3 linked regions of the Oryzias latipes genome follow. The protein of the gene in region 1 interacts with the protein of each later gene in a pairwise test. Links are inferred from orthologs where the notes say so. Each region holds a gene or a part of one and is shown in the gene's direction. Other genes may lie near its edges.

Region 1 (3,998 bases):
ATCACATCACTCCTGTGTTAGTTTCGCTCCATTGGCTCCCAGTTGATTCCAGGATCAAGTTCAAGATCCTCCTGTTAACCTATAAGGCCTTACATGGAATGGCCCCGTCCTATATTAAGGACCTCATAGTCCCTTACCATCCAATCAGAACACTTCGCTCCCAAAATGCAGGACTGCTTGTGGTTCCTAGAATTAGTAAAAGTACGGTTGGAGGTAGAGCGTTTAGCCACCAAGCCCCTGTCTTATGGAATAAACTCCCAGCTCATGTAAGAGAGGCCGACTCAGTTTCTACATTCAAAGCTAGACTGAAAACATTCCTCTTTGGACAGGCTTATTGTCAGACTAGTTAGTATTCAGAGATTATTTAACTTAATGTTAATTTGTTTAAATTAAACTTAATAATAACTATTTCTTTTAAAAGGCTGCTAGAAGTTGAAGCTGGGGTAACTATGGTGCACTGGGGTTCTGTCCTCTTTCCTGTTTTTATTTCTACCCTTCCTCTCCTCTATTCTTGATCATAATTTATCATTTAGTTCTCCATCCCTCTGTTTGGTGCAGTGCGATTCATGTATTGTCCCTCTTTTCCTCTCCCCTCCTGGGGAGTGGGAGTGCTTCCAGACTCCAGTTGGCTCATCCGTGCTCCAGTTCCTGATCGTTTACCTCGCCTTTGCTCCTGCTCCTACACCTGGCTGTGGATCCTGCCTCTGGCTCATCTCTGGCTCGTCTCTGCTCTGTACCTGCACCTGGCTGTGGTTCCTGTCTCCGGCTCGACTCGCGCCTTTGACTGTCCCCACAACCACGGCAGGATGAAGCTCGTCTGCTGGACTTTTATATATGTAGTTGTAGATTTAGATAAGTTAATTCTTCTCTAAGATTTCTGGTAAATCGCCTGTCCGTCCTGGGGGAGGATCCCTCCTTCATGTGGGCACCCCTGAGGTTTCTTCGTTTTTTCCGGAATCCGTTTTTTTTGGGAGTTTTTCCTTACCGCGAAGGGGGGTCTAAGGGCAGGGATGCCAGTATAGCTTAGTCAGTTTGTTAGTTCATTTTAGTATTTTTCTATTGAACTCTTTGTATTCGTGATCCTTTTGATTTCATGTTTTACTTCGAAGCCCATCGAGACGACTGTTGTTGTGATTTTGGGCTATACAAATAAAATTGAATTGAATTGAACAAACCCTTAAACTTACATATTCAAGTAGTAAAAGTGAAGTTATGGCTTTCTTAAAGGATAACTAAATTTACTCCATCATTAGGCAACTAACAGTGTGCAGAATTATTATGCAACTCAATGAAAAACAAAGATTTTCCCATCTCACTTGTTTATTTTAACCTCTTAAAGTTAGAATGACAACTAAACTAAGAAAAAAATACATATAAACCTTTCTGAAATGTGAAAAGGAAAACCTCAGTGACCAATGTAGCTGCCTTTTTTTCAATGACAGACACAAGCCTTCCATTCATGGAGTCTGTCAGTTTCTTGATCTGCTCGGGATCAACTTTTTGTCCAGCCACGGTTTAGAGAGGTGTACCCACTTAAAAAAGGCCCAAAAATTCTCAATAGGGGTTAGGTCAGGTGAAGAAGGGGGCCATGTCATGAGGTTTTCATGTCTTGCATAAAAACGAGTGTCTTCTTGAAAGATGCAGACTGTTTCCTGTACCACTGCTTGAAGAAAGAGACTTCCATAAATTGGCAGTAGGTCTGAGAGTTGATCTTAAGTCCATTTTCAATTTGAAAAGGTCCAACTAGCTTATTTTTAATAATACCTGCCCACACCAGCCCCCCACCTCCACCTTGCTGGCGTCTAAGTCGAAGTGGAGCTCTGTGTCCATTACTGATCCAACTACGGGTTCATCTATCTGGTCCATCAAGAGTCACTCTCATCTCATCAGTCCACAAAACCTTTGAAAAGTCTGTCTTTAGATATTTCTTGGCCCATTCTTGACATTTCAACTTGTGCATCCTGTTGAGAGGTGGTCAGGTTTCAGCTTTTCTTACTTTAGCCATGACCCTGAGAACGGAACATCTCGGACTTCTTGATACTCCAGGTCGGTTGCAGTTGTGGAACATAGCAGCACGGGTGAATAAAGGCTTCCTGCCAGCTGCACGCTTGATTCTTCTCAAATCTTTGGAAGTTTCACACGTTTCTTGCGTCCTCGTTGACAATTTGCTACATAACACTTAGTTCTGCGGTCACACCCCCAGTATCTTGGATTCTTCATCCCTCTTAAAGACTTTTTACATTTTCTGATCTGTCAGAATCAGTTAAATCTCTCTTAAGGCCCATTTTACCTGCATGTCCTTATGTAGGATTTTGATCTTCCTCTGCCACGCCCTCTCTCCTTACATAAATGCGTATCAGTTGATATGCATTAATTCCAATATGCATTCAAGTTTACATGGCTTGATGTTGGCAATTGTGCTTACAATATTTATATGGTCAAAATGTTACCTCTCTAATGCTTATGCACACAGTGTATGCCTGCAGATATGGACCAGTAGCTTCAATAATTGAATCAAATCCCCACTGGAATCTGAAGTGCATTTTACGATTAGCCATAAAGGCTTCACATGTTCAGAAAGAGGTTTTTTTCTGTTTGCAGGCAAAGCTCCAGTCACTGTCTTCAACTTTTTTATTCCTTCAAAACCCTGTAAGACTAAAAACAAAACAAAAAAGGCAGATATTTTGCACAATATAATCATAAATGTTAGTTAGTTTTTATCTATCCACAAAACACTAAGACCAGTCAGTTGGGACTTTATTTTCCTTCTGCCAGTTCTGCGTAAAGAAAGGCGTCCTTTTTTAAGGAAATTTAAAAAAAAAAGATCCCAAATTAAAATGCAGCATTTGACATCCACATAGATCAATCGACAAGCAGCCTTTAATGTAAAGCATAAAGGATTGTACTGGTCATTGCATTGATTAGGGTACATACATTGAAAAAAAATGTTTCATTTGAATTCCCCTCTCTACCTTATGATAAGTAAAAATCATTTCCATGCTTGTCACTGGGCAAAGTTTGTGCGGTTTCCCTAAGAATTGAAACCCAGTCATCTCTGTCTCTTTCATTTGTGAGAATGACCGCTGTCTCACATTCAGGGGAAGAGGCTATACCGCCATCACGTGGTTTGTTTTAGCATTGCATCTTTTTTTGCTGATCAGTTCCACATTCTCTGCTCCATTCCCTGCAGCATTTCATACTGGCTCCTACTGTATGAAACATTATAGTTCCTCTACTAGTCGATACTAATGGAATAACTGTCTTGTACTGGGGGACTGCAGTGTTGAATACCAGATACCTACTTATTTGAAAAAGAAAAAAAAAAGAAAAAGGGATTCTTCTTTGGGAAAATTGGATCTGGATGGTTCCACATTTGATGGTAAGTCTGCATCCTATTCATGGATATAAAGAGTAAAAATTATTTTTAATTTTGAATGCTGGAATTTTTGTTTTGCATGTCAAAGCGTGCTATAGCTCAATATTTACATCAAGAAAAACCTTAGTCTAAATTAAAGTGTCAACATGTCATAAAGGTAAATCGACCCTTTTCGTTGATATCTTGACATCCCAAAGAACCATGGCAACCTCCTCTGATACCCTGCACTTCAGTTTCCCCACCTACGGAGACTCCATCCTTAGCAAAATGAATGTTTTAAGAGAGGAACATCAATTCTGTGACATAACTCTCCACGTCGGGACTCCAAAGGATGGCCTGCCTGTCCATTTCCACGGTCACAGAGTGGTGCTTGCAGCATCTTCAGACTTCCTTCGCGATCAATTCCTGCTCCATGAAGGCCAGGCAGAGCTGAGTGTGGGTGTGGTTTCCAGTGGGAGAGTTGCAGAGTCATTGTTCTTGTCCTGCTACACCGGAATCTTGGAGGTGCAACAGTCGATCTTCACGGTTCCCATGCAATTTCTGGTTGTCTTACAGCAACTTTTTAGCAATATCTCTTTAGTCTTGTAACTACCACCCATTTATATTGTTTGTCCTTTCGTAT
Region 2 (3,835 bases), on another chromosome or scaffold:
TCAAAGTTAGAATATTGAAGATTACATCAAATCAAACTTTATTTATATAGCTCTTTTCCTACAAAAGCACAACCGAACGTGCTTTGCACCAATACAAAATAAATAAATAATATAAAAACAAACACGAAAACTATATATACATTTAAAAAACGCCTCTCTCACCCTCCGCGGGTGGTTTCTCCTCCAAGCTCGGGTCCTCTACCAGAGGCCTGGGAGCTTGAGGGTCCTGCAGTATCTTAGCTGTTCCTAGCACTGCGCTTTTCTGGACTGAGAGGTCTGAGGTCTTTCCAGGGATCTGTTGTAGCCACTCCTCCAGCTTGGGGGTTACTGCCCCGAGTGCTCCAATTACCACAGGCACCACTGTCACATTCACTTTCCATGCTTTCTCCAGTTCTTCTCTGAGTCCCTGGTATTTCTCCAGTTTCTCATGTTCCTTCTTCCTGATGTTCCCATCGCTTGGCACTGCCACATCCACCACAACGGCTTTCCTCTGTTCTTTATCCACCACTACAATGTCTGGTTGGTTCGCCATTACCATCCTATCAGTCTGGATCTGGAAGTCCCACAGGATTTTTGCCCTCTCATTCTCTACCACCTTCGGAGGTGTTTCCCATTTTGACCTTGGGGTTTCCAGTCCATATTCTGCACACATGTTCCTGTATATTATTCCAGCTGCTTGATTGTGGTGCTCCATGTATGCTTTCCCTGCCAGCATCTTACACCCTGCAGTTATGTGCTGGATTGTTTCAGGCGCTTATTTGCACAGCCTACACCTTGGGTCTTGTCTGGTGTGGTAGATCTGAGCCTCTATTGCTCTGGTGCTCAGGGCTTGTTCCTGAGCTGCCAGGAGGAGCGCATCAGTGCTGTCCTGTAGGCCAGCCCTCTCTAGCCATTGGTAGGACTTCTTGATATCAGCCACTTCAGTTATGGTCCGGTGGTACGTCCCATGCAGGGGTTTGTCTTCCCATGAGGATCTGTCCTCCAGCACTGTATCCTCTGCTCTCCATTGCCTGAGACATTCACTGAGCACACTGTCGGCTGTCGACTGTTTCATCCTCTCTCTCTCTCTCTCTCTCTCTCTCTCTCTCTCTCTCTCTCTCTCTCTCTCTCTCTCTCTCTCTCTCTCTCTATATATATATAGTTATTTATTAAATTATCATAAAATGCTATTTTTTAAGCCCATGTTAAAAATATATAAATTTAATCTAAACATATATATTGCATTTGAATATTGAACAGGAGTAAAGACTTCATAATACTGGAAAAGGCAAGGTTTTTGTATGAGTGTGTGTGTGTGTGTGCGCGCGCGCGCTTTTCTTATGGAGACAATCCGCTACAAAACAAATTCCTTCACGCGACTTTTATTTTGAACAGCCCTGCGTCACTTCCGTTTGATGTCGCATTCCTCACAACATAAAGCAAGAGCCACCGCTAAAAGCTAACGCTACACCTTGAAGGGATTCCCTCCCCCTCCCGCACACAGTCAGGATAAACATGTCAGACACGGTAAGAAAAAGAACGTTGAAGAGTTCGAATGATTTTCTGTCAACACTTTACTAAGAAATCGATAATGTGTTTGTTATGGACGCTGCCTCGTACGTGATTATCTAACAACATGCTAACCGTTAGCTGTTCTAGCTGCAGGCCTCTGACTGAACTTAGCGATTTTTTTTTACCCTCCACGTGAGCTTTTGTGTAGTTTTTTGAGATTTTTTTTTGGGGGGGGGGTCAGAACTGGTGCTGGCGGGACCGAACCCACACTCGTGTCTATGGTGGATGTTCTCTGTGTTCGTGGAACCCGCGGAGTAAACAGACGGGCCTTCCTCGAAAGCGTGCTAGCGGTCGCATCATGTAGCAATGTTTTGTGATGTTTCTGTCAGGAGACGAAACCTTCCAATCAGGACGGAGGCGACAAGAAAGATGGAGAGTACATCAAACTAAAAGTGATCGGTCAGGTAGGTTGTTTTTGTGTCTCTGCTTTTGTTGTCACTACTGTCTGCATTTAGAAATAAACCGTATTCTACTCCATTTCAAATAAAGTTATGGCACGTGGTGGTGTCTCTATTATTGTTTATAGAAGGCTATTATTTTTGGTCAATGATTCTGCCAATTCTTTATCATTTACAGATGTATTCGTTTTAATGCTGGAAGTTGTTATTGTTTTTGAGCTGCATCACCTTTTTGTGTGTGTCCGTTTCTGCCCACAGGACAGCAGTGAAATCCACTTCAAGGTGAAAATGACCACACATCTAAAGAAGCTGAAAGAGTCTTACAGCCAGAGACAGGTATGAAGAGGAAGACGCATCGCCACTTTTCCAATGACAGCCTTCGCAGATCCATCCAAATGCAGTTCCTTATGGTAGAACACGCCATTATTTAAAAAAAAGATAACTCTGATCATCTTTTGATCTATTGCAAAAAATAAAAAGTTCCTAGTGATTTTTATTTATTTTTTTGACACGCTCTCCCGCTAGCTTACTAAGACTCCCAAGCTAATATTAGCAGTGCAACAAAAATGGCGAGCAATATCGGAGCTATCCAGCTGCACAGTTTGGATCCGGATGCTCGGACGAGGAAAATAAAAAAAAGTTACACGAGTCTATTTGTCTGCAAGGGAGCCTTGTGGCTTGCCGTAGTAGCTTTGGAATCATACCTGCAACCTTTTTCCAACTAAGTTTAATTTTGTCTGCTCCTGATTCACAACGATTTTAAATATAAAAAAAAAATAACCCAATTTTAAATGTAATTTTAAGCTTAATTTTCTTTAACCCTTGTGCTATCCTAGGCCCTTTAACATTAGGAGTTGGGTCATCTAGACCCACTAGACAGTGCGCTTAACCTTTCTTCTTCAATGATTTGTGATCTTCACTGGTGTCCATGGATTACATGAAATCTTTCCACTTTTGTCATGGTAGGGAGAACACGTCAATGTAAGGGTGGGGTCATCTAAGATAGCATAAGGGTTACACCTAAAAGCTCGTCTATGTAATCGTTACTCGTGCTCCTAGCGCCTCGCGGCGGCGTTCAAGGAGAGCTGATTGAAGGAAAAATAAAAATCTCCTAATGGTCTAACAGCAGAGGATGACGTTTCTTTCAGGGAGTCCTGGCGAGCACGCTACGGTTTCTTTTTGAGGGACAGAGAATCGCAGATAACCAAACCCCAAAAGAGGTAAGCGACACTCGCAAGAGCGAAAACCAAGCACTAGTGGTCACTAAGGTTTGTGTTTTCTTCTGTTTTTTTATAGCTGGGCATGGAGGATGAGGACGTCATCGAAGTTTATCAAGAACAGACCGGCGGACTTTGGAATCATTAAAGCCACAATTTCTGATGTTTTTTTTTCTTCTTTTTTTTCCCCTTTTATTCATGTTTTTTATCATTTGGTTTTGTATGTATGTATGTATTTCTGTTAAGTTTCAAACCATCTGAATCAAAAAAGCAAAAGGACTCAATCAGGGCTTCCATGTGTGCGGTCGGGGAGGCGGACAGACCGAGGACTCGAACCTGTGGCTCTGCCGTCGGAGGACACTCTAAGATTTTTACCGGCAACCATTTCGCTTTCGTGTTTTAAATTTTTATTTTATCAACCTTGCTGGAATGATGTGCTTTTGCAGGAAAATGGTTTTTAGGAGCTTCTTCCTCCCCAAAATGTTTTTTAAAATTGTCTCATAGAGGAAATATGTCAGATGGCATTCTGGGTAAGTGCGGTTACAGAAACCGTAAAAAGAAACCGATCAGAAGCATACCAGAGCGGCATGCTTCTGATCTTTCCATCTATTCAAAACAAAAAAAGTTGTTTTCCTGGAACGGACCAAAGCGTCTGTCCAAATGAAGGGG
Region 3 (4,139 bases), on another chromosome or scaffold:
CTTTGTCATGGTAGGGAGAACACGTCAATGGAAGGGAGGGGTCATCTAAGACAGCACAAGGGATAAATGACATCTTTCTTGAGGAAGACAATGATTACCATAGACCAGGGGTCGGGAACCTATGGCTCGCGATCCATATATGACTCTTTTGATGGTCACATGTGGCTCGCAGACAAATCTTTAATTATAGTTTTTTTTTTTTTCATTAGACCAGTCCTTCTCGGGCGCGATGCGATGCCAGAGGCGCGCAGTAGTAGCGGTGCTTGGAGAGAAAAATTCAGCGCCAGCGCTATCAGTTACTATTATCTATTATTTCAATTCAATTCACAGGTTTCCGGGTGCACCCGGAAACCTGTGAATTGCCGTGCCCAAAACTGCGCGCTCCCGTCTCTGAGAAAGAGCGCGCAGTTGCGGGGACGGGATGTGTGAGGAAGAAAGCAGAGGGTGGGGGGGTTGTGAGGGCAGCAGGTGAATCGCGCTGGGATTGTAAAAACGTAAAACCCGCTGCCCGTCACTCACTGCAGTGTGTGAGTGTGTGTTTGTCTCCCCGTCTGCATGTGATCAGTCTGTCTCACATCTACAGAACATTCAGACCTACGATCACGTTTAAAGTCTCAACGCCTGCATGAAGCAGAAACTCACCACGTATCAACCAGACTAGACCATCAGCAAAACTACCAAGAGAAATACTCATCGTTTATTAGCAACAGCATAACGATGTTATTAAAAAGAATCCACAGACTTATTGTACTTTAAAAATGTTGAAATTAAATCAAATGCACACATTCACTTGTATATTTAGTTTTAAACATATTGTCGCGGACTGAGTTTAACTTGGCTGTTGGGCCGCGTTAAACGTTCTGGAGTTCATTAAACGCATCAAGCAGAGATCTGATTGGCTCTCAGTTCTGTCGCTCAGCCTGTTGTCAGGTAGTTTGGACCAATGGGGTTCAGCTATGGGCCGAATAAGGGAAATGGGAGGACTGGAGCGGGAGCAGGGGAATATAAAGTTGGGAGAAGCGCTCTCGTGTCGGCGGGAGAGATTCAGGAGTTGCTGAATTAATTGTTCGGCGTTTGCTGCGGTCTGCAGTAACCAGAATAAAGAACCTTAAAAGAGGTTAAGTCTCCGTGCCTCAGTGTGGGAAAAGGACACTACATTATTGTATTGCTCTTTCAAAATTACATTTAAAAATATGTGGCGTTTATGGCTCTCTCTCGACAAAAAAGGTTCCCGACCCCTGCCATAGATTAAGGGGATTCATAGATTAAATGACAATACGACCCCCACCACTAGGTGGCGGTAATACGCATCGGCAACAAGACTCAACCGGAAGAAGAGCCCGGACCAAACCGGAAAAGAAAGTTTTGGCGGGTGGTTTGTTTACTCCGCGGAACCAGTAAGAACATTTGAAAACGGAGATTTTCTTTAGTAGAAACGTTTCACTGACATCCTCTTTACCAGAAAACCGACCCCGGTTTCCGGTAGAGGCTGAGAGTCCGGTCTGGTAGAACGTTTACCGACAGAATGGCGTCCAATGGCGGATTTAAAACTCCAAAAACCGTCCGGACCAGGAGTTCGGGGGGAACCCCCGTCACCATCCCGGCATCGCCCTTCATGAAGAAGTTGGGCTGCGGTACCGGAGTCAGCGTCTACCTGATGAACAGGTGTGTGTTCCGGTACCTGTCCGGGGTGTACCCCGCCTTCGTCCAACGGTAGCCGGGACCGGGACATAGTGGGTCAGGAAGATAGAAACATGTTCTTCCTTAGACCTGCTTCAGAGGATGAACGTCATTACATGTAAATAGAATGTAACATTACATGTTAAAATATCTGAAGGAAACATCTAAAAGTTATGTTTAAGTCAAATAATCAGTCAGTAAATCTTTTAAGTGGAGTTTAGTGGATCAGGGAGAAAACAAGGATTCATTATTTTCATCAATCAACAAAAAGTATGGAAGCGATTCTGTAGCATAATTAAAAATAAAAACCAAAACCACAAATTTTCTAAATGAAGCTGCATTTTTTAACTAAAAAATAAAAAAAATGAAAAATCAATTCTTCTTGAGGTTTTGGCTTGTATTTTGAATTATGCTACAGAATCTCTATAAAAATGTGTGAACAAAAGAGAAACAGAATTCAAATCCAAATTAGTCCTCATCAGTTCATGTAGGACCTGACAGGAACTCTGCGGGTCCAAACATCCTGCTTCTCTGGACACAGGCTTTGTCTCATCCTTCTGCCGTCATGTGATCCCAGACCCAGAAGACAAACCGTATTTTCCTGTGGATCCAGAAGACAAACCGTCTTCTTCTGTGGACCCAGAAGAAGAAACCGTCTTCTCCTGTGGACCCAGAAGTAGAAACCGTCTTCTCCTGTGGACCCAGAAGACAAACCGTCTTCTTCTGTGGACCCTGAAGACAAACCGTCTTCTTCTGTGGACCCAGAAGAAGAAACCGTCTTCTCCTGTGGACCCAGAAGACAAACCGTCTTCTCCTGTGGACCCAGAAGACAAACCGTCTTCTCCTGTGGATCCAGAAGACAAACCGTCTTCTTCTGTGGACCCAGAAGAAGAAACAGTCTTCTCCTGTGGACCCAGAAGTAGAAACCGTCTTCTCCTGTGGACCCAGAAGACAAACCGTCTTCTTCTGTGGACCCTGAAGACAAACCGTCTTCTTCTGTGGACCCAGAAGAAGAAACCGTCTTCTTCTGTGGACCCAGAAGAAGAAACAGTCTTCTCCTGTGGACCCAGAAGACAAACCGTCTTCTTCTGCAGTTATTTCACCGTTGGCCTCGTCGGTCCTGATCATCCTCTGACGGCACCGCAGTTCCAGTTTTCCTTCAGACTTGACTTGCCTCCACGTTGTTTTTTTTGGCTGACAGTCCTTCAGGACAGACTTTTCCAGACGGGTGAACTTTAGTCTCACTGTCAGATCTGAACTGATGGTTCTGCTGGATGTCTTTTGGTTTCACTGATGTCTGCTTCTTCAACCACTGCGTCCACTTTTCTCATCACTTCTTTGTGCTTCAGAACGTCTGGAAGCGTCTGCTGTCAGATGTTTGTCGGGGACAGACGGATGCTCTAGAACCTCCTGAAGTCTTGACAGCGGTTTCCCTTCAGTGTGGCGTTGATGATAATCTGTTGGTTGATCAAGAGCTTGATGCGTCATGATGGGTGGGGCAGAGGCTTTCGGTCCAGCCAAGAACGGCTTGTCCGGCTCTCAAACCCACGCTTTCACTCAGGCACAGGAAAAGGTCACAGCTTCTGATGTTTTTCTGATGGATGGATGGCTTTTAGGGAATTCTAGGGGTTATGGGTGTGGCTGTGGATCAGTAAAGACTCTGAACGTCCCGTCCTCCCCCAGAGAGGAGCAGATGAACGCGTCTCCGTGGGCAGTGAAGAAGATCAACAGCAAATGTGAATCCAAACAGGCTGCCGTTTACCAGAACCGTCTGAAGGAAGAGGCCCGCCTCCTGCGAGGAATCGACCATCCCAACATCATCGGTAAGGAGGCGATAGACGGTCAAACGTGGGGGGGGGGGTCTGACGACAGGATGCTCCTGCACGGTCTGTTCCCTCTGCAGGTTTTCGCGCCGTGGCCACCGCCAAAGACGGCTCCGAGTGTTTGGTGATGGAGTACGGCGGGGAGCGGTCACTCAACGACCTCATCGAGCAGAGGAGGGAGCAGGGTCTCAAGGCCTTCCCCGCCGCCAACATCGAGAAGGTGGCCCTGCATGTGGCGCGCGGCCTGCAGGTGAGACCCCGCCTCCTTTTTTCTGCGTGCTCCTGCAGAACTTCACGATTTCCCTGTTTCAGTACCTCCACAACGAGAAGAAGCTGCTGCACGGCGACATGAAGTCCTGCAACGTGGTCATTAAAGGAGACTTTGAGAGCGTGAAGATCTGCGATGTGGGCGTGTCTCTGCAATTAGACGAGAACATGACAGGTGAGCTGTCCAGTCTGAGCATGTTCAGTAGGACTCAAGTTGATCTTCGGCAGCTAGCTAGTCCGTGTGGAAGCAGGTTATGTAAACTCACCACTGTGAACAAATACTTGTTTTATGGCCTCCACGTTTCTGGAGTGAATGGGCGGAGCTTCATACGAAATGACGGAGCACCTTTGTTGAAACAGTAAAAACAT

Evidence for each region.
Region 2: the proteins of zinc finger and BTB domain-containing protein 26-like (region 1) and sumo1 interact in binary tests that used the Homo sapiens proteins (3 or more experiments, as listed by UniProt). The two-hybrid records come from large-scale screens. The link is inferred for Oryzias latipes from reciprocal best matches to the Homo sapiens genes ZBTB26 and SUMO1.
Region 3: the proteins of zinc finger and BTB domain-containing protein 26-like (region 1) and pbk interact in a two-hybrid assay, tested with the Homo sapiens proteins (2 studies listed by BioGRID and IntAct). The two-hybrid records come from large-scale screens. The link is inferred for Oryzias latipes from reciprocal best matches to the Homo sapiens genes ZBTB26 and PBK.

Annotation. Positions count from the first base shown.
Region 1 is NC_019870.2:15,290,255-15,294,252, forward strand, and holds the start of zinc finger and BTB domain-containing protein 26-like, read left to right. Parts: upstream 1-1,198; 5' UTR 1,199-3,379; intron 3,380-3,573; 5' UTR 3,574-3,577; coding exon 3,578-3,880; intron 3,881-3,998. UniProt on the Homo sapiens protein: May be involved in transcriptional regulation.
Region 2 is NC_019860.2:9,899,752-9,903,586, reverse strand, and holds sumo1 (small ubiquitin-related modifier 1), read left to right. Parts: upstream 1-1,473; 5' UTR 1,474-1,494; coding exon 1,495-1,506; intron 1,507-1,880; coding exon 1,881-1,955; intron 1,956-2,207; coding exon 2,208-2,285; intron 2,286-3,097; coding exon 3,098-3,169; intron 3,170-3,245; coding exon 3,246-3,314; 3' UTR 3,315-3,335; downstream 3,336-3,835. UniProt on the Homo sapiens protein: Ubiquitin-like protein that can be covalently attached to proteins as a monomer or a lysine-linked polymer.
Region 3 is NC_019882.2:249,394-253,532, forward strand, and holds the start of pbk (lymphokine-activated killer T-cell-originated protein kinase), read left to right. Parts: upstream 1-1,339; 5' UTR 1,340-1,525; coding exon 1,526-1,665; intron 1,666-3,363; coding exon 3,364-3,503; intron 3,504-3,583; coding exon 3,584-3,753; intron 3,754-3,815; coding exon 3,816-3,945; intron 3,946-4,139. UniProt on the Homo sapiens protein: Phosphorylates MAP kinase p38. Seems to be active only in mitosis. May also play a role in the activation of lymphoid cells.